Linked DNA regions of Bombyx mori. The protein of the gene in region 1 purifies or fractionates together with the protein of each later gene. This does not show direct contact. Links are inferred from orthologs where the notes say so. Each region holds a gene or a part of one and is shown in the gene's direction. Other genes may lie near its edges.

Region 1 (4,309 bases):
AGAATGGCGCTAGCATAGGCACAGGGTATGATATGAATTGAGCAGTTTTTAACTGATTGAAGTATGCTGAGTTAGGAAATTTAATATATTTGTAGTTAGTGACAGTGTAATACACAAGTTTACGTAGTCCAAACTAATTTCGTCAATATAACCTAAAATTATTGCTGTGGTAAAAGGTGGAGACATCGATTGCATTTTCTTATCAGCTTTAAATAATATACTTTTTGTGATTTTGTAGTGCTTACAGGTCTTTCGTCCTTTTTTATTTCTCTATCTTATTCTAATAACTTTCAGGGCCTTTTTTAAAATTTACCCGGTTGCTACTGTAGCGCCACCCTTATTTAGTCAGTTTTAACGGACACTTTTTCACACACAGAGACGGTTCTCCTTACCTCTACCCTCCATATTCCTAATATGTCTATATCGATCATAGATAGTACACATAAATTCATAGACCTATATAGTAATAAATTATGTAGATGTTGCAATGATTAAATCATTGTAGGCGCCTGAGTTGCGAAGTAGAGGTGCCTCTACCCTCCATACTGCGAAGTAAAAAAAAAACAAAATGGCTGTCATTCTAGTATAGAGGTGCCAAGAGAAAATTGGGATAGTGATTTATCGCTAAAAATTCCCATATTTTACCCCACATAAGTTTCACTGGTGTATTGACACATTGTAATAATAGGTAGTACATAAAAATGAAATTGATTTACCTCCTAATCTACTGTGATGAAATGGATTGAAACGAGACGTGTTCAAAGGAATAAGTTCCAGAAAAATGCTCGGAAGTTATTAATACTTCAGTGAACTTCTTAGAAAACTTTGAATAGCCACAGTACTTTCTTAATTTTCTATAATTAGGTACTTTCACAGATGCTAAGCGGTTATTAGCATTGTTACCATTGGTGCATTAGCACCGTTATTAAATATTAGGTGTCACTAGAAAAAAATATTGACATTTCCTTGACCAAGTCACCGATGCCGCAGATATCGGCTAATAAATTTTATATGCACGAACCGGTTTTTAACCCTGAGTTATGGAGGAAAGAAATAAGTAAAATCAGGGGTGTAGAGACAGATGTCACTAAGGAATTTTTTGTTCGTGTACATAGTAGGTAAATAAAAACAAATTTGCGAATGCTTGGCAACTCGACACGTAGCATATAGTCTGTGAGCACCATAGATTATACACTTAATATATTCGAGAGCACAATAAAATCCATAGACTATACACTTAAGTGTATAATCTATGCTATACACTATACACATTGAATCAGATCAAACAGCACAGTAAGTTAATACGCTCACAGAGGGAGAAAGTGAAGATTTGCAAAATCAGAACGGTTTCCTAAGAACTTTTAGTTTTCGAGATGAATGTTTCCATTTTATGAGAAATGTTTACATGGGCCCAGTAAAAACAGCGGCTAGATAAAACGAACAAAACAACATTAAAATGCAGAAGAGTTTTTGTAGCTGACACATCAGTTTTCATGTGTTTATAGTGATTTTATGTGTGATATCTACGTTAGGCAAGCAAGATGCCGAGGGGAGAGCACAGAACGACAAATCTCCTGTCACGCGAGGAGAACGAACAGGTGTTCAGCCTAATAGGACCAAAATGTCAGGTGAGTTAATCATCCTTTTTAGATCCTTCATGAAAGTAGCTCGCGTTGAATCAGTCCACCTTGATTACGTATCTATAGCCCTATCAATGTATTATCTTATGCTATCTAAACGATAGAGTTGTTTGCGTCCTATTCTATCGCCTGGATGATTGATTAAGATATTATCTTGTTCCTTGTAACGTTAAATGTCTTGTTTTAAATCTAATGAAAATTACAAATCTTTTTAATTTTTTAATAGTATAAAAGGCTTTTGATAAACCCTCGGAACTTAACCGACCGACTACAATGCTTGACATTTCAGGCCCAAGCAATGTTTAGGAATTAAATTACTGTCAATACAAATTTCAACAATGAATTTTTATATTTTTTTTATATTTTCTGTGTACAACAAACTATATATTCAACTAACGTAAATTCTAAATGATTATTAACTCACATATTGGGTTTCAAAACCCACAGATAGGGAATTTTTTGAAATTAAACTATTCTCACACAATCATGAAAGACACTGAAATAAATAAAAGTAATAGAATCTAAACGAAATTCAAATAATATAAAAAGTATATTTACTATTTGTGAACCTCTGAACAGTGGAAACTGTCCCTGTCTATTTCTAATGTGAAAAATTTGGGGCAAAACAATTATGGTTGATATTGAGAGTTCTATAAACTGATAATTCCACATCATGTGTGCTCTTAGCTGCCCAGTTTAAATTATAAAAAAAAAACACTAATCAAAAAAGAGTTAAAAGTACATCTTAACAAGTCAGAAAAAGTGTAATTGCATTTCGACCAGTCATGTCGTGAAAGTGTTCAAAGCCTGCATATGATAGAAATTTCACCCCATAAAGACATACAGTGAAAGTCTGTTACTATATCAGATCTCAGTAAAGTATTTATTACGACAACTGGTTTTGCATGTCTTGTCTATTATACAATATATTCATAATATACATACACATGTTACTGTAGTGGATTATAGTTTAGAAATTTAATAAATCCAATATAAAAAAGATTGTTTGTTGGGAGTGTCTGTATAAATATTATCTATACAATTTCAAGTATTAAATCATCAGTCAACAAATTTCAAAGCGCAACTTATCTCTTATTAAACAATGGTCAAGTACAACCATGAATATAATAATCTTGTACCATATTGTACAAGAAAACCACTACGATTTCAAATTATTGAAATATATGAAAAATCATTAAACATAAAAAATTCACAAATCATTTGGACCCCTCCATATTATCATCTGTTCTATGGGTCTTCATATACTACTTGTATCAATAATATACGGGGTCAGCTCTGTTGTTAGCCACTATCAATAAAAATATATTTCCCACCTCATTACTAGTATCTGATTTGCATATTTTTATGTGATTCAATATAATTATGACTCACTGACTCAATGATTCAGAAAAGAATTGTGTTATTCAATATATTATCTAAAGTCTATATATTATCTATATATTATCTTTTTAGATTTTTCTAATCATTATATTATCTAAAAATTGTGTTATTCAATATAAAATCTATTATCTATTATTATCTAAATGTGGTACGATACATAGTTCTTGGAGCAACATATATACCATAATCTTGTTTCTGTTACCTTTAAAAACAAAATTGAAGCCTCAGCGGCATTGGATTTTATCTGCGACTGAAATAAAGATTTTTATTCTTAAAAATATCTTAGAATACCCATTTACATATATGCCTAGATACTATAGTGACAATAATCTGTCATTTGGTGAAATCAGATACCCTTTGGGAGCTTTAGGCAGATTTAGGATTTGCATTTGTAATGAAAATTTGAATCACATCATCAATTTTTTATTTATTGCTTAGATGGGTAGACGAGCTCACAGCCCACCTGGTGTTAAGTGGTTACTGGAGCCCATAGACATCCACAACGTAAATGCGCCACCCACCTTGAGATATAAGTTCTAAGGTCTCAGTATAGTTACAGTGGCTGCCCCACCCTTCAAACCGAAACGCATTACTGCTTCACGGCAGAAATAGGCAGGGCGGTGGCACCCACCCGCGCGGACTCACAAGAGGTCCTACCACCAGTAAGCCTACATACTTTCCGAGAATTGCCCAAAAAATATACCTATATTTTGACAAAGAATTGTAGTATCCAAAAAATAGTATTTATATTCAAAACTATTTTCTGATTTAGACATATGTTGCGGGCCGCTGTCTGGAAAATAAACTTGCCTGATGAAAGACCCTCTCTTTCATAGTCATCACAAGCAACACATAATTTAAAAATTTAAAATGTTTTCAGAGTCTAGCAACTACAGTTGTTCAACTCTTCACAACTGAAGGTCCAGCACATTCTGAATGGAAGAAGAGAGATACTGGTGTACTGTGCCTTATAAAGGACAATGGCAAGCGCTCATACTTCTTCAGGATTTACTGTTTGTACCGAAAAGCAATGATATGGGAGCACGAAGTTTATATGCAGATAGAATATAAGAACCCAAGGCCTTATTTACACACTTTCGAAGCTGAGGTAAGCTTAAAACTATGTTGAAAGTAAATAATGTAATATTGTATTTATAGTACATATAATAATAATAATGAAGTTGTCTTGGCCTAAAGCAACATCTGGTGTACTCATATCTCATGATATGCCTATAACCATATTATTTGCTTGGACCAACTTTGTGTTG
Region 2 (4,552 bases), on another chromosome or scaffold:
GCATAAGCCAATGTTTATAATTTATTTCTGTAGTATAGTTTTGTTTAAATATTTTTAGGTATATGATTTATAGTTTTTATTAGATAAGAAAAAAAAAACCATATAGATACATACATATTTTTATATTTATAAATTCATTCACTTTTTTAAAAATAACATACTTATCTCCTAGCCACTCGTGAAAATTTATTTCGCCTTCTGTTGTGTTGGCAGAGAAGTCTGGAAAAGTTTTTCCAAGTAAAAGCATGTTAAAAAATTTATTTTAAAAATATTTTTCTTAGTGTGTTTTGTGTTTTTTTTTTAAGGCAAATCACTCAATATTATAAATCAAATTATACGTCAGTTAAACGCTCAATTCAAATACAATACACTAAATATACATCTATGCTTGTTTTTTAAATGGAGTACAAGTATTCTTCTTTTATTTTTATTGCCTGCCAGATTTTCAAAAGAGGTGACAAAAATGATTCTTGACATTAAGAAAGTACGTCAAATTTTTTTTAGTCGATTTTATAGTGCGCAATTTATTCTATGAACGATGTAACAGCATTTTATTGCATAATACTAATTGCCAACTACTATTTCACAACGAAAATTGGTATATGATTAAATGAGTATGTGACATAGATTGTACGATTTACCTAATTGTTACAAATATTCAATGTTATTTTTTGTTATGGATTTATTTGCTCCAACAATCATTATCAAACTTCACAGTGAATATCAATAAATTAGTTTCGTTTTTGCACATCCGATTTTTATGTTGGTCTGTAGGCTACTTTTTTCGTACCAATACTTATAGCCTTGAGAAGCTATATTAGCGTTACCCTTGCGTGTAGGTGAGCTCTTGGGGCTCTAATAAGGAAGTTGCTAGCACTGTCCCTAGCAAGAGCAGTGCTTCGCAGAGTCTACCACCGAATTGGAAACACGACCCATTGAGAAGATCCAGCGACGAGCTTAGTGGTCTGTGTCTGTGGGTTAATTTACTCGCCGAGCACGGCGTTGCAAGCGATGGGTTCAGTGGGAACGGTGACTGGTGCTTAAGGTACCTAAAAGAACCGTTTGTATCGGGAGGATCCGTAATTACGTGTTTAGGGCAAGGAGGCTTCGTTAATCACTTAACTACTACTACTACTGAGCTGGCGCTATGACCCCGAAGTGGGTCTCGGCCTCCGACAATAAACTTTGCCATTCATCCCGGCGCTGCGCAACATCTTGCCAGTCCGACACTTGGAGCTCCCGTAAATTTCCTTCCACAGCGTCATCATCACTTAACCCGTCTATTTAATTTAAAGTATAGATAAATATTTGATATTACTTAAATTACGCAATGATTACATCAAATTACTAAAGCATTTATTTCAGTAAGTATTTAAAGGATAGCTACTTTCTGATAACTACAGGTGAGAATTTTCGTTGTCCTATACTTTGTAGAGCTCAAATGATTGACCCTCCAAAACTTTACTTATATCAGTGTTAATTAAGTACACTCTGATTCTTATTGAATCATATCAACGGCCTCGGATCATGGAACACGTACCTACTTAAATAATTATGTACGCCTTCCATTTATGTGTAGTATATGATTATAATAGTTTTAAAGAAGCATATGTTTTAGATTTAAAACAAATATTGAAATTAACTCAGCAATTCGTTTAAAATAAATATTTTATTTCCATTTTGTTAATATTTTTTTACTAAAGGTACGATAAAATCGATTCTCTGACTGTTGACATTCGGACCATAGACAAATTTCTAGGCATTTACTGCTCTATTCAATCAATGGCGTCACACCGTCAATGACCCAACCCGCTACTTGGAGACTGTAACATTCAACATTTCCTATTTACAACGTGGTGTTATTGTATTCATTTGAAATATTTATTATCTTCGTAATTAGGTAAGTGTGTAATGAAATGAAATTGATTACAAATAAGGTAAAAACACCATATTAGTGGTTGTTGTCGAGCACAACACAAAATGGACGTCAAAATTATTGTGACGTGATTATGTAAAAAAAAGCAAAAATACTTCAAATATTTCTAGAAAGTTATCGTTTTTTTTAACACTATACCTATCGCTTTAATTTCATTCTCCGTAGCCATTGAATACTTATACTCAAATAGTACCACGGGACTGAAAGGTAACAGGAACTCGGAGGCACTTGTCTTGCGGACGACAAACACACCCTGTTGGCTGTTATCGGTCGCTCGGCTACAATACTATCTCAGGAAATAGTTCTTTGTTTTGTGCTCGAAATGTTCTTTAAAAGCAGTTTTCTTTTAATTCGACCCTTTTAAAGGTCAATGCCCTTTGAATGTGTTCCTATTTTGTAGTGTGCTTGGCATTTCATTTGCTATGCGACGTATGAGACCCTGATTATCGCCGAGTCGGAATGCAGTTTGTGTAATGCACTTAAAGCTAATTAGTATGGGTGTCGATCGCTTTTGTTTTTAACTATTAACATTTTTAAATATATTTTTTTCCTCCTAAATAACTGTATTTTTGTTGGGCTTCTAATAACAATTCGTGAATTAGTTGAAGATTTGGAAAAAGTCAGTAATAACATTCAGGTCAAGGACTGCTAGATTTAAAATAAAAAATGGTAAATTATTTAAATCAATTGTTGATTTCAACTTAACAGTTGTAGAATTGACTGTATTCTACCCAAGGAGCTTATTTCAGTTGTCAATTAAAAAGATTTCTTAATGCAATAATGAATTAAGAGTGACTGGATATTAGAATGCAGCTTAGGAGGATAATGGTATCTTTACAATGATTAAAAATAGTTTTAACTTCTCATAATATTAAACTATGAACCAGTGTATCCCAATACATGGAATAAACAACATTACTCATCTTCATTTTCTCATGATTTATTCTCCTCAATTTTTTTATATTAAAACCTTTATAAGGTATATTTAAAGTTATATTTAAAGGCTTAACATATTACCAGGTTACTGTTTAGCTATACATATATTCAGTCGTACTATTATATTCAATAAAGTAAAAGTAAGACAAATATTTTATTTTACTGTTATCACCAAAACAACAGTAATACTTGCCTAAGCGAAATTTCTCAATGTGGATCATAAAATAACTTAACACAGTGAAATCATTAGTTGAATCAAAATGTTCATAATACCATTAATAGTAATCACAATGTATAGATATTTTTACCCATTTTGAAAGATAATATTTGAAACTGCTACATTTTAAATCAGATAATGTTAATGTCTAGGTAGTTGTAGGATGAATGGTGATAACAGGGAGTATGAGCTCCAAGCTGTATCATTGGCATAATCATAAACCATGTGTATATTAATTTTTATTAATACAAAATATGTAGAAGTTGACTTGACATTTAGTTCAACTTTGAATAACAGTATACGACCTTCATATCGCTGGATCTATTAATTTAATTTTGAATAATCTATTTTATCATTCTTAGTTAATAATGTGTGGGTGTGGGTATTTATTAGAAACATTGCATCACATGCTTAATAGTAATATTTTATTTTAATTCTGTTAAAAAGAAAATTATAAACTAAGCAAGTTTGTCTGTAACATGATTTTGTTTACAATACAATTTCTACAGTGGAATTTATGCTCGCAATCATAAAAAGAGTATGTAGGTATGTAGTAATAATATATGTATAAGGCTTGCAACTAAGTTCTCGCTGTTTCTCAATAGATGGCTGCAGCAGTAAGTGCTGGTCGATTTTGATAGATCAAATATATTGTGAACCAAGCTTAGACAGATGGTAAATAAAAGAAACATTAAATTTATTGAAAATTATGTTGTTACATATACTTTTGGTTGTGTGAAACTGTCTGATTTTATAACAAATAAGTATCATATGCGGGAAGTGTTTCTTTTCTTCTTTCATTTGAAAAATACGCTGGATGAAGCTCTTCGAGAACTACAAAAAGTTTATGGCAATGCTGCTTTAAGCGAAACTATATGCTGTGATTGGTTCAGTCAGTTCATAGACAGTGGTTTCGATATTGATGACTGTCAAAGTAAAGGAAAGCTAAATTCAACGAAGTCGCTGTCTTCAAATTTGTATCTGATTGAATCAGTGGCTGATGCAAAATCCGCTAGCCTCAGCATAAGCAGTTGCTCACAAAGTCATTTACAAGTTATCACATCTATTGAAAGTATTTCAAAAGCAAGGAGCCTGGATTCCTTATTAGTTAAAGTCAAAATGTTACAAAAAGAAGAGTTATATTCATAGCATTAGCCTGCACAGTTCGGCTGTATACTCAGACTGTGACGATTGTGCTGTGTACTTGGTGGGACCAGGTCAGGAGTATTTATTTTGAGCAGTTGAAACCAAATTGAAACGACCCATAGGGAATGACACCAAACTCAATTAATGTGATATAGCGCTGCACAAAATATGGACATAATATGACATGATATAGTGATTCCCCTGTATGACATCATTAGGCCTCACCTTGCCAAATCCATTTAAACTTACTTTGAAACACTCAAATGGGGTGTCTTACTCTGCCACTGTATACCCCAGATATTCCACCATCCGATTTA

Evidence for each region.
Region 2: the proteins of actin nucleation-promoting factor WASL (region 1) and cdc42 homolog purify together in Drosophila melanogaster (affinity purification with western blotting; 3 studies listed by BioGRID). This does not show direct contact. The link is inferred for Bombyx mori from reciprocal best matches to the Drosophila melanogaster genes WASp and Cdc42.

What each region holds. Positions count from the first base shown.
Region 1 is NC_085121.1:15,495,023-15,499,331, forward strand, and holds the start of actin nucleation-promoting factor WASL, read left to right. Parts: upstream 1-1,222; 5' UTR 1,223-1,541; coding exon 1,542-1,628; intron 1,629-3,921; coding exon 3,922-4,149; intron 4,150-4,309.
Region 2 is NC_085107.1:13,964,453-13,969,004, reverse strand, and holds the start of cdc42 homolog, read left to right. Parts: upstream 1-1,751; 5' UTR 1,752-1,900; intron 1,901-2,105; exon of another isoform or gene 2,106-2,302; intron 2,303-3,694; exon of another isoform or gene 3,695-3,764; intron 3,765-3,860; coding exon of another isoform or gene 3,861-4,238; intron 4,239-4,552. Other genes in the region: uncharacterized protein LOC134199721, read left to right, coding at 3,861-4,238. UniProt on the Drosophila melanogaster protein: Regulates mbt kinase activity and is also required to recruit mbt to adherens junctions. Together with mbt and Frl, regulates photoreceptor cell morphogenesis. Together with Frl, has a role in the neuronal development of mushroom bodies.